Macaca mulatta: one gene and its partners. The protein of the gene in region 1 interacts with the protein of each later gene in a biochemical or structural test. Links are inferred from orthologs where the notes say so. Each region holds a gene or a part of one and is shown in the gene's direction. Other genes may lie near its edges. The genes, in order: UBA1, UBE2L6, UBE2G1, UBE2H and UBE2Q2.

Region 1 (6,152 bases):
CACACCTGTGGTCCCAGCTACTTGGGAGGCTGAAGTGGGAGGATGGCTGGAGCCTGGGAAGTTGAGGCTGCAGTGAGCTGTGATCATGCCACTGCACTCCAGCCTGTGTGATGGAGAGAGACCCTGTCTCAAAAAAAAAAAAAAGATGTTTGTTGGGTGAATGAACAGATAAGTGAGCTCTGTTCCCCCGTCCCCACCCTGGAACTGCACTTTCTTAACCCTTTAGAAGTTAAAGTCTGACACGGCCGCTGCAGCTGTGCGCCAGATGAATCCACATATCCGGGTGACAAGCCACCAGAACCGTGTGGGTCCTGACACAGAGCGCATCTATGATGACGATTTTTTCCAAAACCTAGATGGCGTGGCCAATGCCCTGGACAACGTGGATGCCCGTGAGTTTGGAGGCGGGTGAAGTGGTCAAGGGCAAAGTTGTGTGTGTTTCGGTGTGTATATACCAAGAGGGGTGTCTGTCTTCCTGTCCTCTCCTAATGTTCCTTTCCCGGCTGTCGCTTTGTCCTCCCCGCAGGCATGTACATGGACCGCCGCTGCGTCTACTACCGGAAGCCACTGCTGGAGTCAGGCACACTGGGCACCAAAGGCAACGTGCAGGTGGTGATCCCCTTCCTGACAGAGTCGTACAGTTCCAGCCAGGACCCACCTGAGAAGTCCATCCCCATCTGTACCCTGAAGAACTTCCCTAATGCCATCGAGCACACCCTGCAGGTGATAAGCTGTGGGAGAAGGGGAAGAGGCCGGGCATCTGGCCAGGCCGCTGCCTCTCTGCCCCCAGGCCCTTGCCTTGCCTTCAGATGTTGCATGCCTAAGTGTAAGATGTACCTTTTCTCCAAACCTCCCTCCCTCTCTTCCCACCAGGCAGCCTAGGTTTCTAGAATGACTCATTCTTTTTTCACTTTTACTTTGAATTTTTTTCAACACATAGAGAAATATTAAGAATATTATGATGAATACTCAAATACCATTCCTCACCTAAATTTAGCAATTCTTAATGTTTTGCCACATTTTCTTCTTAGATGTATATAGATTTTTCTTCTTTGTGCTTAAATGTGTCACGGACATAACAGCCTTTACTCCCCTACTATTTCAGTGCCTCTGCCAAGTGAGGATATGTTGCTATAGAACAGGGTTTCTTAGCTTCAGCACTACTGACATTTGGGGCTGGTTACTTCTTTGTTATGGGAGAGGGGATGCCCTGTGCACTGTAGGATGTTTCTCAGCATTCCTGACTTCTTATGTCAATAGCACTCCCCCTCCATCATGACATCTAAAATGTCTCCAGACATTGCCAGATGTCCCCAGGGGTGCCACATCACTCCCAATTGAGAACTACTTCTATCTAACAGAAACATCACTTTCATGCTCAACAAAATTAACAATCATTCTTACCATCTCTTCCAGTTATTTATTTGTCTCTAATAGTCCATATTCGGGTTTTCCCCAGCTGTTACTTAAAATGAGTTTAACAGCTGGTTTGTCAGGATGATTCTGTGTGTATGGTGCATGTACCTACAGAACAGTGCACATATTATCTAGCTCAGGGGTGTCCAATCATTTGGCTTCCCTGGGCCATATTGGAAGAATTATCTTGGGTCACACATAAAATATACTAACACTAACGATAGCTGATAAGCTGAAAAAATAAAAGAAAAAAAGATCCGTGCATAAATCTCATAATGTCTTAAGAAAATTTACAAATTTGTGTTGGGCAGTATTCAAAGTCATCCTGGGCCACATACGGGCCACAGGTTAGACAAGCTTGATCTAGCTGAAGTTTTACAAAGTGAACACACAAGTGACTACCACCTAGGCCAAGAAACAGAACCTAGGGATTACCATTGTGCTGTCAGAATAATTCTTAGTGCAGTGTTTGAGGCCAAACCATTTAGAATAGTAGGAGTATGAGGGTGGGAACAAAATAGGGAAGGGGAAAAAAAAAACCAGTTCCATCTGTCACTTTCTCCCTTCTGACACTGCAGTTCCAGAGTGGGTATGTTTGTATTTGTGCACCCACCACAGTCTTACTAGGTCATGTGTGACCTCTCTGTGCCTCAGATTCCTGTTCTGTAAAATGGGAATGACAGTAGCATCTACCTCACAGGACAGTTGTGAACCACTTGCCATTTACCGTGTGCCTGGCACTGTTTTAACCAAGCTTTAAATATATACGTATTTGCTCATTTCTTCCTAGCAACCCCATGAAGTAGGTATCACTGTTGTAACATCTGTTCTAGAGATGAAGCACAGAGGTAAAGATGTTATCCTGTGTGCCTGAAGTCACAAAACTAGGTAATACGTGGCATAGCTGGAATCTGAACATGAATTTCTCACATCTGTACACTCCAAACCACCTCGCTAATGACTGCGAACTGTCCTAGGAACTCTCAGAGGCCAGAACATCTGTCTTGTTTGCTATTTTATTTTTTGAGACAGGGTCTCATTCTGTCACTCAGGCTGAGGTGCATTGGCACAATCATAGCTCACTGCAACCTTCGGCTCCTGGGAAGTGTGTGTGCGCGCATGTGCGCCTGTTAACGTTGACCAGGCTGGTTGCAAACTCCTGGGCTCAAGTGATCCACCTACCTCAGCCTCCGAAAGTGCTGGGATTACATGTGTGAGCCCCTGTATCCAGCCTCTGTCTTGTTTTCTGCCGAGTCCTCAGGGCCTGGATAGGGATCATTTTTGGTTTGGTCTGAGTTTTTTCTTTTTTAAAAAATTGTGGTAAGATAGTTGAAGTTTTTCTTTTTTATGGAGGCATAACATATCTAGAATAAAGTACACAGTTTTTGTTTTGTTTTTTTTTGTTTGTTTGTTTTTTGAGGTGGAGTTTTGCTCACGTTGCCCAGGTTGTAGTGCAGTGGCGCAGTCTTGGCTCACTGCAACCTCTGCCTCCCGGGTTCAAGCGATTCTCCTGCCTCAGCCTCCCAAGTAGCTGGAATTACAGGCGTCTGCCACCACACCGGGCTAATTTTTGTATTTTTAGTAGAGACAGGGTTTCACCATGTTGGTCAGGCTGGTCTTGAACTCTTGACTCAGGTGATCCACCCGCCTCAGCCTCCCAAAGTACTGGGATTACAGGCGTGAGCCACCTCGCCCAGCCTGGTACGCAGATCTTAATACATTTTTAGGCTGGGCTTGGCGGCTCACACCTATAATCTCAGCACTCAGGAGGCCAAGGAGTGAGGTTTGTTTGAGCCCAGGAGTTCAAGACCAGCCTGGGCAACATAGCAAGACCTTGTCTCTACAACAAATCTTAAAAATGAGCCGGGTGTGGTGGCATGTGCCTGTGGTCCCAGCTACTCGGGAGGCTGAGGTGGGAGGATTGTTTCAACCTGGGAGGTCAAGGCTGCTATGAGCCGTGATTGCGCCACTGCACTCCAGCTTGGGTGACAGAGTGAAACTTTGTCTCAAACAACAAAACAAAACAGTTTTCCATATACACAGCACTATTGTAACCACTGCCCAAATCAAGTTCATTGGTTTTTCTTTTTTTTTTTTTTTTTTTTCTTTCTTTTTTTTGAGATGGAGTCTTGCTCTGTCACCCAGGCTGGAGTGCAATGGCATGATCTCGGGTCACTGCAACCTCCGCTTCCCAGGTTCAAGCGATTCCTCTGCCTCAACCTCCCGAGTAGCTAGGATTACAGGCGTCTGCCACCATGCCCGGCTAATTTTTGTATTTTTAGTAGAGATAGGGTTTCATCATGTTGGTCAGGCTGGTCTCGAACCCTTGACCTCAGGTGATCCACGCACCTTAGCCTCCCAAAGTGCTGGGATTACAGGTGTGAGCTACTGCACCTGGCCTGGTTTTTTTTTTTTTGAGACGGAGTCTCGCGCTGTCACCCAGGCTGGAGTGCAGTGGCCGGATCTCAGCTCACTGCAAGCTCCGCCTCCCGGGTTCACGCCATTCTCCTGCCTCAGCCTCCCGAGTAGCTGGGACTACAGGCGCCCGCCACCTCACCCGGCTAATTTTTTGTATTTTTTAGTAGAGACGGGTTTTCACCATGTTAACCAGCATGGTCTCGATCTCCTGACCTCGTGATCCGCCCGTCTCGGCCTGCCAAAGTGCTGGGATTACAGGCTTGAGCCACCGCGCCCGGCCCTGGCCTGGTTTTTCAATTGAGGTGGGGAAATGGGGAAGGCTGGGGAGCTTCCCCACTTCCAGAATAACTGTGAGCCTTGTACTTGCTTTATTCACTGATGGTCCTTCTAATAATGCCTGCGGTAACCCATTTTGTCAACTGTGGCCACATGTAATCTGTTTGCTATGTCTGCAGTGGGCTCGGGATGAGTTTGAAGGCCTCTTCAAGCAGCCAGCAGAAAATGTCAACCAGTACCTCACGTGAGTAACTCCAGTGCCCTCTCGCCCTATCCTTGTCCACCAGCCAAGGCATCCCGCCTGCTTTCCTCATCACAGTAACACTTGGCACCAGGCACACTTTTCACATGAATGAGTGGCTGCTCGGGCCTCGTATTGTTTGGGGTCGGGACTAGTTTTCCATGGAGAAAATAAGATTGCTCTGGAGCCCACTCCTGAGGCTGACGTGTAATCCTGTCCTCTGTCCTCTTCGATTCCTGATAGAGACCCCAAGTTTGTGGAGCGAACACTACGGTTGGCAGGCACCCAGCCCTTGGAGGTGCTGGAGGCTGTGCAGCGCAGCCTGGTGCTGCAGCGACCACAGACCTGGGCTGACTGTGTGACCTGGGCCTGCCACCACTGGCACACCCAGTACTCAAACAACATCCGGCAGCTGCTGCACAACTTCCCTCCTGACCAGGTAATGCCCAGTTGTTGGGTCCATTTGACAGAATGTATTTCCCTGAAATGGGAGCCTGCAGTGTGGGTCCTCCCACTGCGGAGTCCAGCTGTGGCAGGTGCCCTGAGGCATGGGGATCTGAGAAGAGTGATTGACCCTAACCTGCTTTTTCCTTACCCTAGTTCCTTTGAGCAAAGAGGCTTGGTTGCTGTTTACCCTGACTGTGGTGTGGGCTGCGTCATACCTGATTCCCAGTCAGGGCTGTAGGGGTTATGGGGGAGAAATTCTGGAGTTAAGTGCACAGGAATCAATACGGGTTTGGGTTCAAATCTAAACTCTACTTGAACAAATCACGTAACTTCTTTCTGTGCCTCAGTTTCCTCGTCTGTGAAGTAGAAATAATAGTGATCTACGTCATGGGGGGTTTGGGGAGGATTAACTGGTATTTATTAATATGAAGTTAGTACAATGCCTGGTAATCCATGAGTTTGTTAAATGATGGGCTGTCTAGCACAAAATGACTACCCAGGGATTGGTAGTTGTTCTCTCAGCCAGATCTGTGGTTCAACCTGTGGGACCCTACAGTTGGGGTATTTTGTGATTGGCTCCAGTCCCCATCGAGTGCCCAACCCGAGATAGTGAGTTGGGGGCACCTCTGGGGCCTAGGTGAAGTGCCAAGATTGTCAGAGAGGCCTTCACTCTCAGGTCCTGTTCTCAAAAATCTCTCCATCCCTTAGCTCACAAGCTCAGGAGCCCCTTTCTGGTCTGGCCCCAAACGCTGTCCACACCCGCTCACCTTTGATGTCAACAACGTAAGTCTCCTCTCTAGGGTCTTCTGGGGTCAGGTGGAGGGTGAGTAGGTGGGAAGGAGGTGGTGGCTCCCCACTCGAAGGCTGATGTGCTCACCCTTCCCTGCCCTGCCTTCTCCTAGCCCCTGCATCTGGACTATGTGATGGCTGCTGCCAACCTGTTTGCCCAGACCTACGGGCTGACAGGCTCTCAGGACCGAGCTGCTGTGGCCACACTCCTGCAGTCTGTGCAGGTCCCCGAATTCACCCCCAAGTCTGGCGTCAAGATCCATGTTTCTGACCAGGAGCTGCAGAGCGCCAATGCCTCTGTTGGTGAGGGTGTTTGGCCAGTTGGCCAGTAGTCACCCCCAAATGTCCCCGGCCTAGTCTAGCCTCCCCACCAGTCCTCTACCCCTGGCTCTGCTCTGCTTTGTGACCCCAGGCCTGAGGTTTACCCACACCTTCCTTTGAGCCTCCCTTTGACATGAAGAGGGTAGGTTGGGGCAAATTGTCTCCCTCCCTCCTCCTCTCCACTCTCTGGCCCGCAGGAGAACTTGCTGTTTTACTCTTGCTCTGTGTATTTCCCTTAGTTTTG
Region 2 (6,152 bases), on another chromosome or scaffold:
TCACACCCAGGCATGGTGGCTCCGGAGTCTGTGTGACCCGCATACTCTGTTGCCCAGGCTAATGCATGTCAAGTCCTTAGCACAGGACAGCACAGATAGGCGCTCAGAAAAGTGTTCAGGTCGCTCAAAGTCTAGAGGGTCTTCTCTTGGCTCCTTGCAGCTCCCAACCCCTCGGTCACTCTAGCCCCTGAGTTTGTTTGTGTTTAATTATGGTAAAATACATATAACACAATTTACTATCTTAACCGTTTTTAAGTATACAGTTCAGTGTCATTAAATAGGATTACAGCTGGGCATGGTGGCTCATGCCTGTCATTCCAGCACTTTGGGAGGCCAAGGTGGAAGGATCGCTTGAGGCCAGGAGTTCAAGACCAGCCCTGGCAACATAGTGAGACCCTATCAAAAAATTTTTAAAATTATCCAGGCTTAGTGGTGGGCTCCTGTAGTACCAGCTACTCAGGAGGCTGAGGTGGGAGGATCACTGGAGCCCAGAAGTTTGAGATTACAGTGAGCAATGATAATGCCACTGCACTCCAGCCTGGATGACAGAGCGAGACCCTGCTTCAGGAAACAAACAAACAACCATGGTTGCACAACCATCACCATCGTTCATCTCTAGAACTTTTTGTCCACCTGTACTGAAACTCTGTACCCCTTCAGTAACTCCCCATTCCTTTCTTTCCACAGCACCTGGTGACCACTTTACTATTTCGTTTCTATGAATTTGACTATTCTAGGTGCTGTACTTCAGTGGTATCTTGCAATATCTGTCCTTTTTTGTCTAGCTTATTTCCCTGAGCATAGTGTCTTCAAGGTTCATCCAGATTGTAGCATATATCAGAATTTCTTTCCTTTTAAGGCTAAATAATACTCCATTGTGTGTATATGCCATGTTTTGTTGATTGATCCACTTGGTTTTCTTTCACCTTTTGGCTGCTAGAAACATTGGTATACAAATACCTGTTTGTATTCAGTTCTTTGGGTATCTACCCAGAAGTAGAACTGCTGGATCATATGGTAATTCAGTGTCTAATCTTTGGAGAAATGGCCATACTGTTTTCCACTGCAGCTGCACCTTTGTATTTTCCTAAGTTCCTGAGTTCTTAGGATTTCCTCATTTTCTCCATTTCCTCACCCCCATTCTAATGTTCTAAGAAAGGATGTTCCATCCTTTTCTTCCATAATCTCAGAAATCCATGAAAGCTGAGATGGTCCTTAGAGCTCATCTAGTCCATCTTTATCCACTTTACAAATGAGGAAAGTGAGGCCTAGAGGTGGGAAGTGGCTCAACCGTGGTCACACAGCAAAAGCCTGGATCAGACTTCTCTGCCTCCCAGGCCAGTGCCCTTTGGTGATTTCACATTTTCACTAATCCATGACTCAGTTGTCAAATGAATGCAGGTGCTGTGCGTATCCTGGCTCATGTGTCCCCCTGGGAGTGAAGCAGAGGATGCCTAGGACCCTGGGATGGGGGCAGGAAGGGAAGAAAACCAGACCGGAGCTTGACCCCTTTTCTCTCTGCACAGGACCAACCTCCCTACCACCTCAAAGCCTTCAACCTGTGCATCAGCTTCCCGCCTGAGTATCCGTTCAGGCCTCCCATGATCAAATTCACAACCAAGATCTACCACCCCAACGTGGACGAGAGCGGACATGTTTGCCTGCCCATCATCAGCAGTGAGAACTGGAAGCCTTGCACCAAGACTTGCCAAGGTGGGGCTGGGCTTTGCCCGGAGGAGGGACTGATACTGGGTAGAGATTACTGGAAGGGGGTTTCACAGACTTATTCTGAGCTTGAAAAGCCCCGAAGAGAGGAGGTGAAAATTGTGAGTCTTGGCTGAACTTACTGTGAGATAGAAGGGATGCTTCCTGGACAGACTGACCTCCTCCTGCCTCTGTTCCTGTACCTGGGCAGTTGTGACAGAGGAACATTGCTGTGGTTCACGAGAGAGGCAGCCTGGCTGTACAGGGAAGGGCTCGGGATAAGAAAGCCCGCTGTTCCCTCTGTGGACTTTGGGCAAGTTTTCGTTCCTTTCTGGGACTCGGTGTCCTAAATGACAGTGGAGGGAACTGGCCTCATAATGAGAATAGCTGTCACTTGACTGAGCACTTTCAGCGCTGTGCTGAGAACATCACATGCGGACTTCATTTTCATTTCCTCCACCACCCCGTGAGGTAGTGTTGTCGTTAGCCTTGTTGAATAGACCCGGACATTTGAGGCATGTGAGAGGCGAAGTGGTTGCCTAAGGTCATACAGATGGCAAACGGCAGCACTTGGCTGAGTCGCGAGCCACATGTGACTGTTGCAACTGAGGAACTCAGTTCTTTTCCTTTTTTAAGACGGAGTCTCGCTCTGTCACCGAGGCCGGGGTGCAGTGGTGCGATCTCAGCTCATTGCAACCTCTGCCTCCCAGGTTCAGGCGATTCTCTGGCCTCAGCTTCTCGAGTAGCTGGAATTACAGGTGTGTGCCACCACATCCAGCTAATTTTGTGTTTTTAGTAGAGAAGGATTTTGTCATGTTAGCCAGGCTGGTCTTGAACTCCTGACCTCAGGCGATCCGCCTATCTTGGCCTCCCAGAGTGCTGGGATTACAGGTGTGAGTCACTGCGCCTGGCTGGAACTCAATTCTTAATGGTACTTAATTTTAATTTTTTTTTTCTTTTCTTTTGAGACACGGTCTGTCTCTATTGCCCAGGCAGTTAGTTCAATGGTGCGATCTTGGCTCACTGCAACCTCTACCTCCTGGGCTCAAGCCATCCTCCCACCTCAGCCTCCCGAGTAACTGGGACTACAGGAGCATGCCACTACACCTGGCTCATTTTTGTATGTTTTGTAGAGACCAGGTTTTGCTATGTTGCCCAGGCTGGTCTCAAACTCATGAGTTCAAGCCATCCACCCATCTTGGCCTCCCAAAGTGCTGGGATCACAGGTGTGAGCCACCGTGCCCAGCCTGATTTTGATTCAGTTAAATTTAGATGCCTGCCTGTGGCTAATGGTTACCATATTGAACAATGCAGCTCTAGAGCCTGTGACTGAGTCAGTGTGCAATCCTCTACCTGGACCACCTCAGGAGTTTTTAACTCAGGAAACAAAAGTCCTTTGCTTGGTGGGAGTGGGAGCAGGGAGAGGAGTGGTCCTTGGATGAGCTTCAAGGGGTCTGGGAACTATCCGTTTTGCACGTGGAGTGTGCGTCTGTCTCAGGAGATGGGCTGCTACCTTCACCAGGTTCCCAAAGGCATCTGTGAAAGATGAAGAGCCAGGGGGCCATGGTGGTTTTCAGTCTTTAGCCTTAGACCCCTTTTGCCCAAGGAAAAGTTTATTTGGACTATCAATATAATGGAGGAAAACAGAGTAGTTTTTGTTGAAATGGGGATAAGACCCAGAAACCTCACTTATTTCAGTGGCTCCCATGATGAAGAGCTTCTCTGAAGCCATGGAATGTAGTTGTTTGAAAACCACTGATGTCATCAGTCAAGGTCTTGGGTGTCACCAACCAAGAATGAGCGGGGTGTTTGATCCGGTCATAGAGTCAGCCTAAGAGATGGAACCTTTCCTCCAAGGAGTGGGTGTGGAGTGTCAAGGCATTGGGAGTGGGCAGCCGTGACCCCTTCCCTCTGCCCTGATGTCCTGGCCTGTCTCTCCCCAGTCCTGGAGGCCCTGAATGTGCTGGTGAATAGACCGAATATCAGGGAGCCCCTGCGGGTGGACCTCGCTGACCTGCTGACAGAGAATCCGGAGCTGTTCAGAAAGAATGCTGAAGAGTTCACCCTCCAATATGGAGTGGACCGGCCCTCCTAACTCATGTTCTGACCCTCTGTGCACTGGATCCTTGGCATGGTGGATGGACACACCTCATGGACTGAGGCCAGAGCCCCCTATGGCCCATTCCCCACTCATTTTTTCTTTCTTAGGTTGTTAGTCATTCGTTTGTGTGTGTGGGGTAGAGGGAAGGGAGCTGTGAGTGTGTGTGTTGTGTGTGGACTCACTCCCGGGTTCACCTGGCCACAGGTACACCCTTCCCACAGCCTTTGCATCCCCCAGAGCCAAGGGAGTTTAAGTTTGCAGAGTTACAGGCCAGTTCTCCAGCTCTCCATCTTAGAGAGACAGGTCATCTCGCCGGCCCGCTTGCAGGAAATGAGCCCAGCAGCCAACTCGAATCCCCCTAGGGCTCAGGCACTGAGGGCCTGGGGACAGTGGAGCGTATGGGTGGGAGACATATGGAGGGTACCCTATTTACACCTGAGTCAGCAAAGCCACTGATGGGAATCTACAGATTTAGGTGCTAAACCGTTTATTTTCCACGGATGAGTCACAATCTGAAAAATCAGACTTCCATCCTGAAAATCTGTATGTTTCAAAACCACTTGCCATCCTGTTAGATTGCCAGTTCCTGGGACCAGGCCTCAGACTGTGAAGTGTGTGTCCTCCAGCATCCAGTCCAGGGGGAGCCACAGAAACCATGATCTTGCTTAAGCCATTAAAGTCAAAGATGAATTCTGGAGTGCAGCTGAGTCTTTGATGAGGCGATGGGGTAGTTTCATCAGGACCAGAGAGGACTAGGGATTTAAGCATAAATTTCTGACCTTGCTTCCCCTGGATGTTCCCCAAACATCAAAAGGAATGTTGGCTATGGAAAAATAGGCCATCCTTGGACAGAGGTGCTTTCAGAAGGTACACAAGGATGACGTCCCCATTTTATTTTTTTTATTTGAGAGAGAGTCTCACTCCGTCACCCAGGCTAGAGTGCAGCAGTGTGATCTCGGCTCACTGCAACCTCCGCCTCCTGAATTCAAGCGATTCTCCTGCCTCAGTCTCTTGAGTAGCTGGGATTACAGATGCCCACCACCACAACTGGCTAATTTTTGTAATTTTAGTAAAGATGGGGTTTCACCATATTGGCCAGGCTGGTCTCGAACTCCTGACCTCAGGTGATCCACCTGTTTTGGCCTCCCAAAGTGCTGGGATTACAGGTGTGAGCCACCATGCCCAGCCAACATCCCCATTTTAAAGATGAGGCAATTGAGGCACAGAGCACTTCAGTGGATTGCTGGGGTCCACTCTGCCAATCCACACCCCTGCAGGTGAGCCAGGGTTGTGGCTGGGATGTGTTTTGTTTTCTGTATTTTTCATGAGCTGCTTTTATCAGCACATATGCCCCAAATGGCTGATAAAACCAGACTGGATAGTTAGCAGGAAATTGTAATCAGCTCAGGAGTTTGTATCTCATGAGCAATGGAAAAGCAAAAACAAGCCAAAACTTCAGCCAGATAGAGGGATTAACTTAACCCAGAGGAAGAACTTTCTGGTTGCAATTGTTGTAAGCTCCTGGAATACTGCTGGCTTTTCAGAGACAGAATATGGGGTGATTTGAGTCAAGGAAGTCAACCAGATCCCACTTGTTTCTAGAGAATCTTCTCCAGCTCTTGCCCTGGAGTGCCCTTACCTGAGAAGCGTGGAAAGAGGGGAATATAACCAGAAGAAGTGCCACCAGAGTCAAAATGTAAGTTTGTTTTTTATTTTTGGCGACCACTTACTGAACACTTGAGTGGCAGGACTGGGCAAAGCTTTTTGCCCTTTTCATTATCTCATTTGACTCTCGCAACACCTTCATAAGGTTGCAACTCCCATTATCCCCTTTCAGCCTGTAAACTGAGGCCCAGAGAGGTTAACTGTATGGCCCAGTGTCACACAGCTGGTTAGTGGTGAGACCCAGGCCATTGTCCTTTCCCAGACACCTTGCATAGTTATTGATACCTCAGCCGGTGAGGAAACCCCTGTGTCCAGAGTTTATCATCCCAGAGTGCAGACGTTCCTGGGCCAAGTATGGAGCGGGCACTGAGGGGCCAGAGAGGATTTTACAAAAGTACTTTTAATGCGGTTAAAACCAACGCCACATGCCCTTGCCTGAGCCCCTGGCTCTGGTGCCTCCATCGAGCAGAAGGGAGCCCCCAGGCCACAGCTGGTGAGCTGGGCACCCTGCCCATCTCTGCCCACAGAGCCAGTCACCTCCTCATTTCTTCTTGGTCTTCACCAGTCCTTTCTGCACGAGGCTGCGGTACAGTTCCTGGATGTAGGTGTAGACGCACTTGGAGTCGGGCACAGCCAACCACACCATGTCATCCACGTCCAGCAGCTGAGCACAGTCAGCCAG
Region 3 (6,152 bases), on another chromosome or scaffold:
GGTAGTACACGAGAATTACACACCTGTTGAGACTCCCACCAAGTCCTTTTCAAACCACTCTACTCTTGCGTGTTCTTTGTCCCCACTTTCCAATTTGAGCCAATGAGTACCCAATTCCACTGGCAGGTAAAACATGATAATTTTGTGGGTGATTGATACGTGCATTCACTATTGTGATTGTTGAGTTGGTTCCTCTGGTGTATACATATATCAGTACTTATTAAATTGTTTTTTGTTTTTGTTTTTGTTTTTGTTTTTGAGATGGAGTCTTGCTCTGTCACCCAGGCTGGAGTGCAATGAATGGCGTGATCTTGGCTCAATGCAACATTTGCCTCCCAGGTTCAAGCAGTTCTCCTGCCTCAGCCTTCTGAGTAACTGGGATTATAGGCGCATGCCACCATGCCCAACTAATTTTTAAATTTTTATTTATTTATTTATTTTTAATTATTTTTTTTTTTTTTGAGACAGAGTTTTGCTCTTGTTGCCCAGGCTGGAATGCAATGGTGTGATCTCAGCTCACCGCAACCTCTGCTTCCCAGGTTCAAGCAATTCTTCTGCCTCAGCCTCCTGAGTAGCTGGGATTACCAGCATGCGCCACTACACCTGGCTAATTTTGTATTTTTAGTAGAGACGGGGTTTCTCCATGTTAATAGGCCGGTCTCAAACTCTCGACCTCAGGTGGTCCACCTGCTTCGGCCTCCCAAAGTGCTGGGATTACAGGTGTGAGCCACTGTGCCTGGCCAAATTGTGTAATTTAAGTCTGTGCAGTTCACCGAATGTCAGTTATACCTCATTAAACTGTTTAAAAATTTCTCATGTGGTCTGCTCACCGTTAGTAGGCCAGTACTTTATTAAGTCTGGTGTCTCCGGAAACATTTTGGGCCCTGCACCCCTGCTCACCTGCTCCTTAAGGTCCCTGTCTTGGCTTGTGTGCCCCCACCTCGCTAGTTCCTCACCTCTTGTTTCCCACCCTGTCATTCTTTCTCCATGCCACGGCACTCTCTTTAGAAGAGAAGAACCTCATGATGCTACAGCCATTCCTGTATGCTCTAGCTATTACTCTTAAGTTAATCCTGTGTCCCAGAGGCTATGGCTCTCAGAGGGTCAACATACACAGATAAGACTTATGGGACCTCTGCTCTCCTTGTGCTCAGAGATGGATGGGCACACAGGAGCACTGTAGGAGCAGGTCCCCACGACTACAGGGACATGTCAAATAGGAGTACAAATGTTAGTACAAATGAAAGTTATTAAGCTCAGTATATTCCAATGAAAAGGTATGATTAGACACTCTGAAAGCATACCCTAAAGATAGCAGCTTAAGAATTGCCAACTTGATTTGATTTCTGGGGTTCCCTCGAACGAGAATCTCTGGGGGATGGGCCTGGATATCTGCATTTTAATAAGCTTCCTTAAAAGACCACTGTAGGGCCACCCAGAATGACAAGAGCCTGGCTGGACACCAGTAGAAGTTGATCTTCTGGAGAGTTTGCTTTACCCAGGGCTTTCTTACAGTATAGACATGAAAATATTTTGGCCATCAAGTAGCATCTTGCCTGGCAAGGTATATCTGTTTGATGGTTTAAAACTTATATATAACATGTATGCTCAAGTTCTGTAATTTATCTATTGGATGAAAATTTTGTGCTTAAATGTATTGATTAAACTTTGCTTTTTCCACAGAACTCAACAAAAATCCAGTGGAAGGCTTTTCTGCAGGTTTAATAGATGACAATGATCTCTACCGATGGGAAGTCCTTATTATTGGCCCTCCAGATACACTTTAGTAAGTATAATGGGACTGACATCTTCAAAATGGAGCTCTTTTAATACACTGAGTTAAAAACTATTTTGGCAGGCTGGGCGTGGTGGCTCACGCCTGTAATCCTAGCACTTTGGGAATGGGTGTGGTGGCACGCGCCTGTAGTCCCAGCTACTCAGGAGGCTGAGGCAGGAGAATCACTTGAACTCAGGAGGCAGAGGTTGCAGTAAGCTGAGACCACACCATTGCACTCCAGCCTGGGTGACAGAGTGAGACTCCATCTCAAAACAAAACAAAGCAAAAACACAAGTATTTTGGCAAACTGAAATGAAATTATTTTTTAAGGAGCAGGAGAAATGGCTGTATTCAGTATCCTTTGTACTGAATTGGATCATCGAAGAGTGTTCGTGTTCTCCTTGAATCTCTAATGTCTAAGACCTATTGCTATTAAAAATAATAGTTTCAGGCTGGGTGTGGTGGCTCACGCCTGCAATCCCAGTACTTTAGGAGGCTGAGGTGGGTGGATCACCTGAGAGGTCAGGAGTTTGATACCAGCCTGGCCAACATGGTGAAACCCTGTCTCTACTAAAAATATGAAAATTAGCCGGGCGTGGTGGCACACCTGTAATCCCAGCTATCCAGGAGGCTGAGGCAGGAGAATCACTTGAATTCAGGAGGCAGGATAATTGTATATTTTTTGGACATTTTAATTGAGAATGTATTATACACATCAGTGTATTAAGAAGGCTAAGGAGAATTTTCAAGATCGTCTATTTTCGTGGTTCTCTACTTGAGTCCCCACTGAATACTGGTTAGAATCTAGGTGTTCTTATCCTATACTAAACTAATGGTCACTTTCTCCTAGTTTGTTGAAAGTTATTGTTAGACTATATGATAACCTGTTAACTGACTATTAATTGTTAAACCAATGACTTAAGGATAGACAACAATGTAGTGGTATTAAATAAGAGTAGAAGAGAAGTAGAATTTTAAAAATATTTCGTGTAGTACATTTCTAGATGCAAAGACCACAGTCGTATTTTCTGCTCTGAGTGTTTGCAGACTAACTTAAATTTACTAGTATGTATTGTTTTGTAAGATGCATCTGCCAGGCGCGGTGGCTCACCCCTGTAATCCCAGCACTTTGGGAGACTGAGGTAGGCAGATCACGAGGTCATGAGTTCGAGACCAGCCCGACCAACATGGTGAAACCCTGTCCCTACTAAAAAGACAAAAAAATTAGCCGGGTGTGGTGGCGCGCGCCTGTAATTCAGCTACTCAGGAGGCTGAGGCAGGAGAATCGCTAGAACCCAGGAAGTGGAGGTTGCAGTGAGCTGAGATAGCGCCATTGCACTCCAGCCTGGGTGACAGAGCGAGACTCCATCTCACACACACACACACACAAAGATGCATCAAGACTTCCTTACATTGGTGACTGATACAAGTTTCCATGCTTTTTACAGCAGTTCAGGTATTGGAAAAAAAGGAAGTGACCTTCTTAAAGCCAACAACTGAGTGACAGGGACAGATCTAGATCTGAGTTTCTTGAGGTCTGGACTATACTTTCTCATTTAACCTTCATCTCAATGGTGCTAAGTGGGTAAGGATTTGGATGCATCAAACAGTTTTTTTGGTGATGGTCAGGTAGTTGTTTTTAGGTTTTCTGAGTTAGTAGCTCTTTTCCTCCTCAGAAAACAGCTGATGGAAAAGAAGATTTGGAGCTATTTCTCTGCCAGGCTAGGCTGATACGTAGAGTTGAACCGTCGTGTGGACATTTGTGTTTGTGATAACGATTGCCAATCCGAAATTTTGCTGATGTGTTTCCTGATAGTAGTTTGCATTGATGAGTTTTACAAATTGAGATAACTGAATTTGGCCACCCCACATGATTAAGGTTTTTGGCAGATAACAGTAGCCATTGAAGACCATCTGGAAGTGCTTCCTCCTAACCTTACTGTTATTTGAAAGCAAATTTCCTAACAGTTTTTTCACCAAAAGATGCTTGATGCAGCCAGATCCTTACCCACTTACCACACCTGGGATGTGAGCCCGGTGAAGTTCAGATCTATTCTTGTAGTTTTTCAACATCACCACCTTGGGAGACACAGCAACATTTCAGTGACAGAATCTAGTTACCCTTGTATTACGTACATGAAAACAAGAAAAACTCTTCTAAACTGATGTCTGTATGGAGCATTGGTTGGGAATCCAGATTTGAGCTCAATTCTAAGGGCCTCATTGAAATTTTTTTTTTTTTTTTTTTTTTTTTTGAGATGGAGTCTCACTCTGTCTCTCAGTCTGGAGTGCAGTGGCGCGATCTTGGCTCACTGCAATCTCTGTCCCCTGGGTTCAAGTGATTCTGCCGTGTCAGCCTCCCAAGAAGCTGGAATTACAGGCACCTGCCACCACACCCGGCTAATTTTTGTATTTTTAGTAGAGATGCCATTTCACCATGTTGAGCAGGCTGGTCTCGAACTCCTGACCTCTCAGGATTAGATATACACCATTTTGTTACAATTGCCTACAGTATACAGTACAGTAAAATGCGCTACAGGTTTGTAGCCTGGGAACTATACGCTGTATCCTAAAGCCCAGGTATGTAAGTAGGCCATACCCTGTAGGCTTGTGTATGTTCACTCTGATGTATAAAATCGCCCAAGGACGCCTTTCTCAGATCATAACCCTGTCGTAAAGCCTCGCATAACTGACTGTATGTTGTGTACCTCCAGCTCCACCAAAGAGAAACACTTTTTCTTTTCACTAATAAAAACCCGTTTCTGGGCGGGCGCTGTGGCTGACGCCTATAGTCCCAGCACTTTGGGAGGCCGAGGCGGGCAGATCACGAGGTCAGGAGATCTAGACCATCCTGGCCAACATGGTGAAACCCCGTCTCTACTAAAAATGCAAAAATTAGCTGGGCGTGGTGGCGCGCACCTGTAGTCCCAGCTACTCAGGAGGCTGAGGCAGGAGAATTCTTGAATCCGGGAGGCGGAGGTTGCAGTGAGCCAAGATCACACCACTGTACTCCAGCCTGGTGACAGAGCAAGACTCCATCTCAAAAAAGAAAACAACACCGTTTCTGGTATTTGGTGTACATTTTTGAAAGCGTTGGCTGTTGACTTGAGATGTGAATCACAGCAGTGTTTCTGGCAGCTCCTCTGGAGTGTGTATATGCTGCTGAGAATACTGGTGGTCACTTCTGGCCTGTGCCTTCCTGAGATCAGTAGCCTTTGCTCAGGGAAGAGAGAGAGCGTGTTCCTAGGGCAGGACCTGAGAAAGGCAAAGCAAGATACAGGGGGATGAAGAAAGGTTTGTTAGAAGTAGGCCTTTTAAAATGCTACCAAGGATCATGTACTTCATAGAATGGATTTGTCGTTGGCTGGGCGTGGTGGCGTACGAGGCCGAGGCGGGCAGGATCATCTGAGGTCAAGAGTTGGAGACCAGCCTGACCAACACGGAGAAACCCCATCTCTACTAAAAATGTAAAATTAGCCGGGCATGGTGGTGGGTGCCTGTAATCCCAGCTACTCGGGAGGCTGAGGCAGGAGAATCGCTTGAACCCGGGAGGCAGACGTTGGCGGTGAGCTGGGATCGTGCCACTGCACTCCATCCAGCCTGGGCAACAAGAGGAAAACTCTGTCTCCAAAAAAAAAAAAAAAAAGGTTGTCTTAACAGAAAGTAAGAAAGTAGTGATGTTCTTGTAATTATTTCAGTGGAATGGAGAGAGTAGAGGCCATCTTGGAATTATTTGAAGAGCGCTATTGGGAGTGAATGTATATACCTTATGTATAAATAACTGCCTGTAGGCCGGGCGCGGTGGCTCAAGCTTGTAATCCCAGCACTTTGGGAGGCCAAGACGGGCGGATCACGAGGTCAGGAGATCAAGACCATCCTGGCTAACACGGTGAAACCCCGTCTCTACCAAAAAAAGACAAAAAACTAGCCGGGCGAGGTGGCGGGCGCCTGTAGTCCCAGCTACTCGGGAGGCTGAGGCAGGAGAATGGCGGGAACCCGGAAGGCGGAGCTTGCAGTGAGCTGAGATCCGGCCACCACACTCCAGCCTGGGCGACAGAGCGAGACTCCGTCTCAAAAAAAAAAATAAATAAATAAAAATAAATAAAATAAAATAAATAACTGCCTGTGAAGGGAAGTAGAGGCTTGTACTGGGGGGAAGCGGTGTTACAGGATTGAAAATAAATTAGTATAGGCTCAGATGGTACCCAGACCTAAGTGGTTAATTCACTACTTTATAATTAGGTAATAGAAATAATACTGAACCAAAATTCTGTAAAAGCTGGTGTGATTATCTCACCGTGCCGTCATTAGCCCTCATTTAGTCACTAGAGGGCACTCCACTCTCTTCAGTCTATGTGATTGATAACTGGTACAT
Region 4 (6,819 bases), on another chromosome or scaffold:
CCAGGCTGGTCTCAAACTCCTGACCTCGTGATCTGCCCCGCCTCGGCCTCCCAAAGGGCTGGGATTACAGGCGTGAACCACCGCAACCGGCTGTGCAATTTATTTTTATTTTTTTTAAGGCTAGTCAAGTGAAGCAGTGGGCGTGTAGAAGGAACAAAGAAATCTGTAACTGGTTGTGATCAATTAGTTTTAAACACCACTGTACCTGGACCAGCAGCAATGTACAATTTGAAAGAGCAATGCACTCCTTTCAGAAGCAACTAAAATAGCCCACCTTTTTCAGAACATAAAGAGGTTATCAAGGGCTGGGGGGAAGGGGTTATTGCTTAATGTTTGGGATGGTGAACATGTTCTGGAAATGGGTAGTACGATGGTTGCATGACATTGTGAATGTATTTAATCCTATTGAATTATACCTTTAAATATGGTTAAAATGTTAAATTTTATGTTATGTATGTTTTACAATTTAAAAAAGCCTAGGTTTTTTGAGGCATGAAATGATAGCTGCAAAAGACGTTCAATCTTAGCTCATTGCTGCTGCCCCAGGTGTGTGTGCATAGGAGGTTATGTAAGGGAGGCTCAACTCACAACACATGATCTGACAAAGTACAAGTGTATATTCATGGGAATGAGGGAAAAGATAAAACTTTTGAAATGATAGTGAAAATCTGACATAAATATAGGCGATGCCTGGAACACTCTTCACTGGCCCTTTTGCCTGGTTGACTCCTGGGTTCCATAACACTTCTTTTGGAGGACCTTATAGGGCAGCATCTTTCAAACTTCACTGTGCATAAGAATCACCTGGGGGCCCGGCGCGGTGGCTCAAGCCTGTAATCCCAGCACTTTGGGAGGCCAAGACGGGCGGATCACGAGATCAGGAGATCGAGACCATCCTGGCTAACACGGTGAAACCCCGTCTCTACTAAAAAATACAAAAAACTAGCCGGGCGAGGTGGCGGGCGCCTGTAGTCCCAGCTACTTAGGAGGCTGAGGCAGGAGAATGGCGTAAACCCGGGAGGCGGAGCTTGCAGTGAGCTGAGATCCGGCCACTGCACTCCAGCTCGGGTGACAGAGCGAGACTCCGTCTCAAAAAAAAAAAAAAAAAAAAAGAATCACCTGGGGACCTTGTTAAAACTGCAAATTCTCATTCAGTAGATCTGAAGTGAAGCTCTAGCGGCATTTCTAACAAGTTCCCAAGTGATGCTGACACTATAGACCCACAGACTATACTGGGGGGCTGTGTAAATTTAGTCTTCCTTTTCCTTTTTTTTTTTTTGGAGACAGAGTCTCACTCTGTCGCCCAGGCTGGAGTGCAGTGGCACGATCTCGGCTCACTGTAACCTCTGCCTCCTGGGTTCAAGCGATTCTCCTGCCTCAGTCTTGCGAGTAGTTGGGCCTACAGGCGCCCGCCACCACGCCCGGCTAATTTTTGTATTTTTAGTAGAAATGGGGTTTCACCACGTTGGCCAGGCTGGTTTTGAACTCCCGATCTCAGGTGATCCTCCTGCCTCGGCATCCCAAAGTGCTGGGATTACAGGCGTGAGCCACTGCGCCCGGCTAAATTTAGTCTTTCTTAGTTCACCATTATATCCTCATGTCCAGCAAGGTGATTAGCACACAGGAAGTGCTTAATAAATATTTATTGAATGAATGAAGTATTTAAGATTGGTGTAGGAGGTTCACACACTTTGCGAAGTTGCCTCATGCTCTGTAGAATAAGGATAGTAGTACTAAATTATTTCTGACCTTACCACATTGCTGTGTAAACTCTAATCTTTGAAATAGTGCCCGTAGACACGTGGATTGTGATGAACCCTGGTATTGAAGCCTGAAGAAGCCTTGCTGTGGTCTACAATCCTTGGAAACAAATTCTCTCCAGCCAAGGAGGGAGCGGAGTGCAAGGAACCTGCTGGTGTGGGAATTTCCAGATTTTGGTGCCTGAGTAATTGCTACCTTGGCCTCCTCCAAATCAAAGAAATTAACAGCTTGTTAAACAGAGTGTGTGTGGAGGTTCGTTAACCTAAAATCCACGCATTTAATAATATTGCCATTATTTACTATTATCGTTTAGGATGATGATAACGACACTGGCAGTTGAGCGATGAAGTAGGTGGGGAAGTTGGGGGAGGGGACAGAGGGTGTGAGACAGCCGGAGAAAGAGGAACTACAACTCCCAGAATGCACCGGGAAAGCCCACGCCGCAGCGGCGCCCCACCCCTCTCAGCGTCCAGGCCCGCCCCCTCCGATGACGTCACCTCTGTGACGTCACGGCGCCCAGAGCGAGGCTGGGGTAGGGAGGCCGACTGAGCAGGAGTCGTCCGCTTGTAGTGGAGGCTGCTAGGAGCCGGTCAGAGGGTGAGTGGGAAACAGGCGAGCGAGCCAGAGCAGGCAGGAGGGAGCGTCGCGCGGCGCAGAGGAGTGCCGGGGCCGGGCCGCGGCGGAACCACAGCCAGAGAGGGGCTGCCCGAGCCGGGCGCCGCGGGGTCCCCACCCCCACCCGGCCGGACAGTGCCCGGTGTTCCCCCGTGCGGGGGGCGGCGGCGGCGGCTGACGGGACCGCCGGGACCGCGGGGGTGTTGCCACCTCCACCGAGGAGCCGGCGCGGCCGCGGGCTCCTCAGAGCCGGGGCCCGGGGCCCGTGACAGACGGGCCGAGGAAGGGAGAGAGGCGGCGGCGGGGAGGCGGCGGCGACACCATGTCATCTCCCAGTCCGGGCAAGAGGCGGATGGACACGGACGTGGTCAAGCTGTATCCTTCGTGGAGGGGAATTCGGGATGTGTGTGGGGGGCGGTGTGGGGATGCCCAGGGCACCCCCGAAACCACTGCAAAGGCCTTGGGGCACTCCAGGCCACTGTCCGAGACTCCCCTCCTCCCCCAGTGCCTACGGCGGCTCCTTGGCACCTCCCAGGGGCCGAGAGCCTTTTCAGCTCGCCTTTTTCCCGCAGCACCCCGAAATACGCGTTGCTGCTCGCTCTTCCTGTATCCCCACAGCCCGTGACTTTCCTTCGCGACGTTTGGACTCCCAGACGGCCTTATTTCTTTTTGCAGGACCAGTCGCCTCACTCTCTACCACCGAGCCCATCTTCAGGGTTTCTCTCTCCTGTTTGCTCGCTCTGGATTGAGGGACTCAAGGCAGAAATTCCCGAGACGGAAGCCTTTCTCCCTTCCTTGAGATGCCCCCATTTCCTCCAACCACAATGCTGCTTGAACTGGGGTCATTCAAGCGACCTCTTTTATCCCTAATTCCTTTCTATATTAGGAAGAGAGTCGCCTGCTCAGGGCCCCCTCTTCTAAGAAAGAGCTCTGTGTGTTTTCAGTCAGTCCCTCCTGTTAAGCTTTCTGGTCCCCGGGAGAACCCTACTGTTTTCCTTTCCACTGACAAAGCCTGTCCCACCCATGGTTGTATGTGATGAAGACCCTTGGGCCCTCCAGCAAGCCACCCTCCATGTTGTGGGTATGACAGCCGGGGAAAGAGGAGCTCCTGGACAAAATAGTCCCTGGACTGGCCACTTGGGCAAAACTTCCTCTGTGAGGGTCAGCTTCTTGGGGGAATACTTGCCCTGATGTCGCCAAGTGACACCCTTTATTTTCTGCCCCCTCCCCCCAACTTTCTGCACTCTGGAGGCTGCAGTGGGAAAGCCATAACTGATAAGAGCCCTTCAGGCAGTGGTTTTGGTTGAAGTCCAGACTGATTATTTAAGGACCAGCTAGAGAAATTCGCGAAGGTTCCTGTGACAAATGGAGAATTTGTTTTTTGAAGGGTAATTTAGAGGGTGGGGGGAGCCCAGAGTTCTGAACAGCTAGTCCTTGGGGAGGGGGGAAAGTGGGGGCTTAGGGGGTGGTACTGTGGAACACAGTTTAAAAGTCCTGTCTCCTGTTTCTCTCCCTTCACCCCATCCCCCCACCGTTTCCCCCTGTTGCAGGGTTTTGTTTATATAACTCAAGTTGTTTGGCTAAATTCTTCAGGTGAATTCCTTTTTTCTTCCTTTTACTTGTTGCTGTTTTTGATTGTTTTACTTCTTTGTAGAGGTCAGTGATTATTGTCAAAAAATTCAGTTAGGGAATTTGCTGAAGTTTTAAAAAAGTAGTTTTTGCATATGGTTTGGCAATGGGGGATGGGAGGGAAGTTGTCCGGGCAAGATATTTTTAAAAAAATAATCTTTTCAGAAATAAGGTGTTTTTCTCCTTGCTCAGGGAAAACTTGGCTAGAAATTAGGAGCAGTAGATAGACTTCTAAGTTTGTGGTTTGGAGTTTAGAATTTTTGGGGGGTGGGAGATTAGAGCGGAGCAACTAATAAAGTATAGCGTACCTAATATATGTTCAGGCACAAGTGAAATCAACTCTTTATGAGCTGTTTGTGGCTGTGATTGTTTTGTAAATGTGTGAATGATACCAGTAATGTTGGCTTTTCATAAGGCTGCAGGAAAACTTGTAACTAACTGACTGTGTGTACATTTTAGACAAAGCAGTTTCAGGTTTTATTTTTGTTTAGAAACTAGGAAATGACATGGTGGCAGAATCTGATTTATTTTTATCTTGAATTGAGAGTTACTGTCACACCTAATGCGAATTTCTACCTAATGTTTAATTGGGATGGAGTGGGGAGATAGAATTCCAGCTGTTTGTGATCATTGTCAGAGTCTCAAATTATGTACATAGACATATTTTTAAAAGATTGAGGATAAAGAGGGGGGCCTAACTTGACCTGATGCCTTTTCCATACAGTGCCTTTTGTTCATTTAGTAGTTGTGGCATCTAGAATGATTACCGCATTTAGGAGTCGGGGTGTGGGGGGTGGAGAGGGAGAGGAAAACAGACAAAGAACAGCAGGGTGTCTTTTTTTTTCTCCCCCTAAGTGGCTTATTTCATAGCTTATTTTTAGTAGAAGATGAAGAAAGGCAAAGATGCATTGGCCTTCTGTTCTTTCCCCACCTTCCTTCCTTTCTGACAAAAGAAAGCAGGGGCGCTTTAAAATTGTAGATCTGAGATAGGAGGATAACAGTTTTAAGATTTAAAAGCCAGAGGTTATCTTTGTTTCGTGTTTATTTTCTGGTATAACGGAGTTTGGAAGTTAAAATGTTTCGGATTTCCTTTTGTGTGTGTTGTGTAGGTGAGAGATTTTGTGTCCTCCTTTCTCTGTTGAATTCACAGATCAGTAGGCCCAAATGGAGCCAACAATTTTTGAGTAAGGTATATTTAGCAGAAAATTTAAGGAAAAATTCCCCAACCCTCTCTACTAAAATGAGTACAATTGTGTGAAAAGGCTGGGGGTTGAGAAAGATGGTGGAGAGGAAGTAGGAAGAAAAGGTCTGAAGGAATGCACTTCTTGCCCCCCAGTGTCCCTTGATGATTTCTTTGGTGTGGGGAGTGATAGCTGGTTTCCTTGCAGTCTCCTGTTTCAGCCCATTTTTGGATGTCTCCTAGCGTAATTATACCACCACAATTTACAGCCTAGCAGGGAACCTATATAGTAGGAAAGTAGCAGTGTGGGGGTAGGGAGAGAAGAGGATGTGTAACTAATTGGCCGCTGCCTTCCACCACCTCACTTGGTTCTTTTGGAGACACTGTCTCTGGTTGTTTGGAGTCAGTGATATTTCTTTTGTGACGGGTTGGTAGGAGGAGAGCTGACTCCCAAGTTATGCAGGGAGTGAGTGTTTTGCACCAATGCACTTAATAATCTGCTGGGTGATTATGCTCTGAAACTCTGACTCATTCATTGTTTCTCTTCTGATCCTTTGCTCAGGGTTGTGCAAACCTCCCCAGGAGCCTAGAAACTGATTTACATGACTTTTGGATCCTTTAGGAATGTGTCCCAATAAAAAAACCTTGCAGTTAGCCCAGATCCTATGGAATGGTCTCGAATAGTGCAGCCATTTGTTTGCAAAGTCAGGTAGATTGGTGATCTGTGCTGCCCAGAGCCTGGCAACCTTTGAGGTTTCCACCTCCAACCAGCTGATTATTTAGATTGTCTGAGAGCTGGGGCTCTGGTGACCTTAAAGCGTGATTTGCCCTAAAGGAATATCGGTTTAAGTTCTCCCTGGTGGAGGAACAAACAGCTCAGATTACACGGGTTTCCTTGTTGGTGGGGGTTACTCGTCTCACCCTGTTGCACAGCCCTGGTGATCCTTTCATCTGTGAACCAGTGGCCCCTGCTGAAGGCTAGAGCTGCTTGTTTTGGAAAAGCGTATGCAGGCAAAAGGCCGCAGGCACCGCTCCTCAGCGCTCATTGGCCGCCCTGTTACTACCCGGAAAAGGAGGAGGGGAGGAGCTACCAAACAGCTGATGGAGTGTGTGACAAGAGAGTGTGTTTATATACAAAAGAGGTGGGGGCTGGGGAGGCCCTCTGAGTGGTGTTACAGGAACAAGTGTGTTTTCGAGGGGTAAAAAGAGGAGAGGAAAACCTGACCTGTTAGAGTACAAGAAACGTTTAGAAAAATTAAGGCTAAATCAGAAAAGTAGATCAGATAATAATGGGGACTGGCATATACCATATGTACAATTTTGTAACTTATAATACCAAGAGTTTTCAATGATTCTTCTTTTCAGAGGGAGTACAGTAATAAAGTAGGAAACACCCCTTTATTTATTTTTAATTTTGTAGAGACCGAGGTCTGACTAGGTTGCCAGGCTGGCCTCCCAACTTCTGGCCTCAAATCTTCCTCCTGCCTTGGCCTCCCAGAGTGCTGGAATTACAGGTGTGAGCCCAGTGCACCTGGCCCAGGGCATGCCACTTTAAATGCACTTAACTTACTCATTTACAGGGATTCCAAAGTATGGCAGAAATGTCAGCTTCCCTTAAAGCATCAAGAGTGATC
Region 5 (6,152 bases), on another chromosome or scaffold:
ATAATAATGGTTCACCGAGATCTTCTAAATGTTGATACATTTGATTTTACAGTTTCAATATACATTCATCAATATTGCCATCAATGTTATCAGGATATACTTAGAAAACAGTGGTGGATACAAGTTTTCAAAAACTAATTTTTTGTTCAAAAACTTGCATTTTATTATAGCTGTTTTATTATTGAATTTTATTATGGCCTGTCTGTTGTTTTTCTTGAAATGACAGAATCTTATTTTTTGAGGAAAATCCGAAAACAAGTTGCAATAACATTGTCAATCATCCTTTCAAGTAAAAATGGTATTCCATTAAAGTGGTTAATTCAGTTCACGACTTAGTCACACAAGGGTTTTTTCTCAGGCAGTCTGTAGGAATGCTCCTATGTACTTCCCATTTCATCACTTGAAATACTAAAAAGACATATTCAAGATTAAGATGTAGTAAAATTTTCACTGCTTTATCATAGACATTCTTTTTATTTTTGAGGCAGGGCCTTGTTCTGTCACCCAGGCTGGAGTGCAGTAGCGTGATCACAGCTCACTGGAGACTCGACCTTCTGTGCTCAATCAATCCTCCTGCCTCGGTTTCCCAAGTAGCTGGGACTGAAGGCATGCAACCACCATGCTTAACTAATTTTTGTATTTTTTTGTAGAGATGGGGTTTCACCATGTTGGCCAGGCTGGTCTTGAACTCCTGGGTTCAAGTGATCCTCCTGCCTTGGCCTCCCAAAGTGCTGGGATTACAGGCATGAGCCACCATTCCCAGCCTTATTGTAGACATTCTTAAATGAAACTGATCTTTTGTTGCTCTTCCTTTTTAAACCTTTCCTGTGCATAGTGAAGAATACCATGACTACTAGTAGTTTGGTGTTACCGCCTTTATTTGTGCTAAAGTGCCAGCATTTTTATCCACCATTGTGTCTTCACCCTCACAGCATATATCAACATGTTAATATTCTTGTAAAAATAGTTTGGACCTGGGGGTCTGAGGGGCCCCACTTTGGGAACCATTGAAATAAGTACTTAGATCTACAGTGTATCATATCTTTCCATCTACAAGATTAAAAACATGATTTCAGTTGTTTTTCTAATTTTCTTAATATGGTTTTGAGGGGTTTCAGTCCAGAGTGACAACATATATGTTGCTTGGCTTATGCTGAAGTTTACTAGACAAATACTAACCTAATAAAATGAGATCCTAAGTGTAGTTGCAGTTTCTTTAGCCTAAGGAAAAAGAAACTTAAAAACTAAAACATTAAAAATGGTCCAGATGGTGTATTCCCAACGTGTGCTGAAAAATTTGAATAAGAAAATGCAGTACTCAATAAGTAGTGTTCTTTAAGAACAGGATTAATTCTGAAGAGTTTCTCATTTAGCCTGTACAGAGATTTGGGGCACAGTAAGAGTTAGAGGAATGAGAATAGTAAATAACCCATTATTGACCAGGTATATTATTAATGATGTCCTCCATCAGTACAACTTATTCTTAAAAGAACATTTGTCAAAATTCTTTAAAAATATTCAGTTTCTGTGGCTTCAGCTATAAATCATAGTTCTCAAAGCAGTGTTTCCTAAAATTGTTTCTGCAAAATTGTTTTCCATGTTGTTCTGAACCTAGTTGTTCTGAAGCTAATATATAATAATAATGGTTTTCCCCCAATTTATAATAGAAAAGCATACAAAGTAACAGAGTAAATGTCTGTTAGTGGGTGAAAGCACATAATGCTTAGTTCGTTAGCTTTTTTCAAAAATCACATGTATTTAAAAAGATATGGGCCTGGCGTGGTGGCTTATGCTTGTAATCCCAGCACTTTGGGAGGCTGAGGCGGGCGGATCATGAGATCAGGAGTTCAAGACCAGCCTGGCAAACATGGTGAAACCCCATCTCTACTAAAAATACAAAAAATTAGCTTGGCATGGTGGCATGTGCCTGTTATCCCAGCTACTCAGGAGGCCGAGGCAGGAGAATCGCTTGAACCTAGGAGGCGGAGGTTGCAGTGAGCCAAGATTGCGCCACTGCACTCCAGCCTGGGCCACAGAGCAGGACTCCGTCTTGAGGTTAAAAACAAAATGCGTGTGTGTGTGTGTGTGTGTGTGTGTGTGTGTGTGTGTGTGTGTATGTAGTAATGGCATTTCTTGGTAGTACTTCGTTTGTGTGATAGGTTAAAACATTAGAATTTTATGGTGTTTGAATTAGTTTTCTCTTTCTCTGTAACAAATTTAGCAGCTTAAAGCAACAAACATCTCACCATTTCTGTGGGTCAGGATTTTGTGCAATTTATCTTGGGTTCACTGACTTGGCCTCTCACCAGGCAGTGAAGGTGTTGGTGGCAGCCGTGATCATCCTAAGGCAGGATAAGGAGAGAATCAGTCTCCAAGCTCACTCATGTAGATGTTGGCAGGATTTATCTCACAGGCTGTTGGACTGGGCCTTTGTTTCTAGATGGCTTTTGGTCTGAGGCCTTTTATAATCCCTCGCCATGTGGGCCTCTCCATAGGGCACCTCATCACATGGCAACTGGTTTCCATCAGAGGGAGCAATGGAAAAAGCAGGAGAAGGGTGACCAAGGCAGACATCATAGTCTCTTGGTAGCCTGATCTCAGAAGTGATGTTATTACTTTTGCTGTATTCTCTTTGTTAGAAGTGAGTCACTAGGTCCAGGGGCGGGAATGTTTACAAGGGTGTGAATGGCAGGAGGTGAAGGTGATTGGGGCCATTTTAGAGGCTGCCTACCAATGTTGAAGAAAATCATTGACTTCTATGAGCTGTAGCAACAGACAGTGCTATGCAAGGAGAATAGCTGTCTCAAAAGTCCGGCCTCTCACATGGTTTTTAACGTGTTGTCTTTTCCCCCATACATTTTGTTTAAATCCGTGGTCATCTTGCCATTTAGTGGTGTGGTTTAATTGCATATTTGGGTTAGTCTGTATGTAAATGTTTAACATAGGTGTCTCTGTGTTAAACAGGAATCCTATCCATCTTCTTCACCAATATGGTTTGTGGACTCTGATGACCCAAATCTGACATCAGTTCTGGAACGTCTAGAAGATACTAAGAACAACAATTCGGTAAGAAAATAAGCCAAGCTATTTTCTTTTTTCCTTATGAACATTACATATAGAAATTAAATGTTAAGAGATAATATGATATAAAAGCACGATTAATGATTATAATCTTGTAGGAATTAAAGAGTAGGTTTTGTTGTTGTTGTTGTTGTTGTTGTTGTTGTCTTTCAAATTCTGTTTACTACCTGGTCTCTCTTTTTTATTTCCCACATGTATAACCTTAATTTCGATTATGAATTAGGGATCTCTTTTTCCCTGAAATCTAACCATTAAGCCAAATCAAGCATTTTGGGTAGAGATCACTAGCCAAGATGGGAAGCAGAAAAAAGACCAAGGTGGAAGTGAAGGAAGAGATGGGGAGAATGACACCAGAACGAGTATGAGGGAATTGCCTTTTCTTTCAAGGTCTGTAAGTGCAGCAAAAGTCAAAGGTATTCAAATATAAAGTTTTATTTTTGTTTTTAATATATAAAGAAATATAACTTCTGTGTTGCAAAAATTTTTAACACTTTTTTTCTTGATTATAAAACTCATGAGCAAGCATTGTTGAAAAAATTAGTAAAATATAGACAGGAAAAAAATATTAAAATCTCCCATAATTTCTCTACCTAATATAACCACTGTTGACATGATGGTTATTTTCTACCAGTATATATTTTTTCTTTGCTAGTAAAATACATATAACTTTATACATATGTTTAAATAGTTGAGGTCATATTCTATATTGTTTTATATCAGTTTAAAACACATTTACTGGCTGGGTACGGTGGCTCATGCCTATAATCTCAGCACTTTCGGAAGCTGAGGCGGGCGGATCACTTGAGGCCAGGAGTTCAAGATCAGCCTGGCCAACATGGTGAAACCCTGTCTCTACTAAAAATACAAAAATTAACTGGGCATGGTGGCACATGCTTGTAATCCCAGCTACTTGGGAGGCTGAGGCAGGAGAATTCCTTGAACCTGGGAGACAGAGGTTGTGGTGAGCCAAGATCACACTACTGCACTCCAGCCTGGGTGAGACTCCGTCTCAGGAAAAAAAAAAGAAAATTACTGTATTTTCCCATGATATCATAAAGTCTTTATAGAAAAATAATCCTCATTATTTTCGGCTGACATGATTGGTTACCTAAAAATATTCAGAGGAACCAACCGGAAAAAAGAGTTTTTAAGATTACTGGTTAAAAGGTCTGTTACATAAAAGTTAATAGCTTTCCACAATTTTAGCTATAATCACATAGAAGATACAGTGATAAAGTATTTTTTCAAGTATTTCAACAAAAATTAAATACCTAGGAATCAACTTAGATGTGCAGGACTTTTATCAAGAACACAACAGTTTTGCTGAGTGGAAGGAAAGATTTGCATTCTGTGTTCCTGTATGAGCAGATCTCATGTTATAAATATGTCACTTATCACCATGTCTTCATATTCGTAAATGTAATTTCTGCTGGGTGCAGTGGCTCATGCCTGTAATTCCAGAACCTTATGATGTTGAGGCAGGCAGGTTGCTTGAGCTCATGAGTTCAAGACCAGCCTAGGCAACATGGTGAAACCCCGTCACTACAAAAAATACAAAAATTAGCAGGGTATAGCCGTATACACTTGTAGTCCCAGCTACTGAGGACGCTGAGGTGGGAGGATCAGTTGAGCTTGGGAGGCAGAGATTGCAGTAAGCCTAGATTGTGCCTCTGAACTCTAGCGTAGGTGACAGAGTGAGACTGTCTCAAAAAAAATATATGTATATGTATGTGTGTGTATACATATATGTATATATAAAATACATAATATGTATATATACCCATATGTATATATGTGTATATGTGTGTGTGTGTATATATATGTAATAAATTTCAGTACAAATCCCAGCAGATTTATTTTTGGAAGTTAACAAAATGACTCTAACGTTTAAAAGAGTAAATGATTAAAAAAAAAAAAAAAAGACTTGTTCAACCAGATGTTCAATAAAATGTTGTGTACTAACCCTGTTCCAGACAGATAAAGGCAATGGAAATTTAGAACCAGAGTCATGCAAATGAGAATTTAGCGTAAGGTGAAGGTGGTATTTTAACTTAATAAGGAAAGGACAGATTATTCTGTAAATAGTCTTAGGAAAACTATTTGAGGAAGTTTGAGTCTCAACTCTGATTTTTGTCAAAATAAGTTATAGTTGGTGTAAACACATCTATTCTTAAGAACAGAAGGCTGGGCGTGATGGCTTACACCTGTAATCCCAGAACTTTGAGAGGCCCAGGCGGGTGAATCAGTTGAGGTCAGGAGTTCAAGACCAGCCTGGCCAACATGGCGAAACCCCATCTCTACTGAAAATACAAAAATTAGCCAGGTGTGGTGTCATGTACCCGTAATCCCAGCTACTTGGGAGGCTGAGGCAGGAGAATTGCTTCAACCTGGGAGGCAGAGGTTGCAGTGAGCCGAGATTGTGCCACTGTACTCCAGCCTGGGCGACAGCGCAAGGCTCTGTCTCCAAAAAAAAATATTTTAAGAGTTAAGGCTGAGGCTTAGCACAGTGGTTCATGCCTGTAATCCCAGCACTTTGGAAGGCCGAGGTGGGAGGATTGCTTGAGCCCAGGAGTTTGAGATCAGCCTGGGCAACATAGCAAGACCCTCTTTCTCTTTCTCTCTCTCTCTCCATATATACACACACAAACACACACACACACACACAGACACACACACACACGAGTTAAGGTTTGTATGGAGAGCCATGAAGGTAAGAGGTAAAAATTAAAAGTTAGATGGACACATGTTTACATCCCCAGCAAGGGGGTTGATGGGAAAGAATGGCAGACATAGTTCTGTTACCGCTACCTCCTTTTAGGAAGTTGCTTCAGAAGATCTAAAGATAACGGTTTTATAATAGCAAAAATGAGTTACTTTTCAGTGTCTAAAATATTAAGTAAACATGTTCATAAGGTTAAATGAAATAGGATATAACATTGGGCCTAGTTTTTTAAAAAGTGAATATATTTACATGAAGGAGAAAACAACTCACCTCCCACTCTTACAGCCTCTGCCAGTTTATCATAGCCTAGTTTCTTAAGAGAATAAGCTGCATGTCTTCACCTTTTTTC

The links.
Region 2: of the proteins of UBA1 (region 1) and UBE2L6, one has a biochemical effect on the other in vitro, tested with the Homo sapiens proteins (2 studies listed by BioGRID). The link is inferred for Macaca mulatta from reciprocal best matches to the Homo sapiens genes UBA1 and UBE2L6.
Region 3: of the proteins of UBA1 (region 1) and UBE2G1, one has a biochemical effect on the other in vitro, tested with the Homo sapiens proteins (3 studies listed by BioGRID, with this or other methods). The link is inferred for Macaca mulatta from reciprocal best matches to the Homo sapiens genes UBA1 and UBE2G1.
Region 4: of the proteins of UBA1 (region 1) and UBE2H, one has a biochemical effect on the other in vitro, tested with the Homo sapiens proteins (3 studies listed by BioGRID, with this or other methods). The link is inferred for Macaca mulatta from reciprocal best matches to the Homo sapiens genes UBA1 and UBE2H.
Region 5: of the proteins of UBA1 (region 1) and UBE2Q2, one has a biochemical effect on the other in vitro, tested with the Homo sapiens proteins (3 studies listed by BioGRID). The link is inferred for Macaca mulatta from reciprocal best matches to the Homo sapiens genes UBA1 and UBE2Q2.

What each region holds. Positions count from the first base shown.
Region 1 is NC_133426.1:47,237,414-47,243,565, forward strand, and holds part of UBA1 (ubiquitin-like modifier-activating enzyme 1), read left to right. Parts: intron 1-226; coding exon 227-392; intron 393-526; coding exon 527-723; intron 724-4,289; coding exon 4,290-4,354; intron 4,355-4,594; coding exon 4,595-4,790; intron 4,791-5,506; coding exon 5,507-5,581; intron 5,582-5,700; coding exon 5,701-5,890; intron 5,891-6,152. UniProt on the Homo sapiens protein: Catalyzes the first step in ubiquitin conjugation to mark cellular proteins for degradation through the ubiquitin-proteasome system.
Region 2 is NC_133419.1:15,849,565-15,855,716, forward strand, and holds the end of UBE2L6 (ubiquitin/ISG15-conjugating enzyme E2 L6), read left to right. Parts: intron 1-1,526; coding exon 1,527-1,713; intron 1,714-3,647; coding exon 3,648-3,799; 3' UTR 3,800-4,495; downstream 4,496-6,152. Other genes in the region: SMTNL1 (smoothelin-like protein 1), read right to left, coding at 6,012-6,152. UniProt on the Homo sapiens protein: Catalyzes the covalent attachment of ubiquitin or ISG15 to other proteins. Functions in the E6/E6-AP-induced ubiquitination of p53/TP53. Promotes ubiquitination and subsequent proteasomal degradation of FLT3.
Region 3 is NC_133421.1:5,802,149-5,808,300, reverse strand, and holds part of UBE2G1 (ubiquitin-conjugating enzyme E2 G1), read left to right. Parts: intron 1-1,683; coding exon 1,684-1,786; intron 1,787-6,152. UniProt on the Homo sapiens protein: Accepts ubiquitin from the E1 complex and catalyzes its covalent attachment to other proteins. In vitro catalyzes 'Lys-48'-, as well as 'Lys-63'-linked polyubiquitination. May be involved in degradation of muscle-specific proteins.
Region 4 is NC_133408.1:169,620,804-169,627,622, reverse strand, and holds the start of UBE2H (ubiquitin-conjugating enzyme E2 H), read left to right. Parts: upstream 1-2,559; 5' UTR 2,560-2,698; coding exon 2,699-2,751; intron 2,752-3,726; exon of another isoform or gene 3,727-3,741; coding exon of another isoform or gene 3,742-3,764; intron 3,765-5,145; exon of another isoform or gene 5,146-6,631; intron 6,632-6,819. UniProt on the Homo sapiens protein: Accepts ubiquitin from the E1 complex and catalyzes its covalent attachment to other proteins. E2 ubiquitin conjugating enzyme that transfers ubiquitin to MAEA, a core component of the CTLH E3 ubiquitin-protein ligase complex.
Region 5 is NC_133412.1:53,962,828-53,968,979, forward strand, and holds part of UBE2Q2 (ubiquitin-conjugating enzyme E2 Q2), read left to right. Parts: intron 1-2,964; coding exon 2,965-3,066; intron 3,067-5,230; coding exon of another isoform or gene 5,231-5,233; intron 5,234-6,152.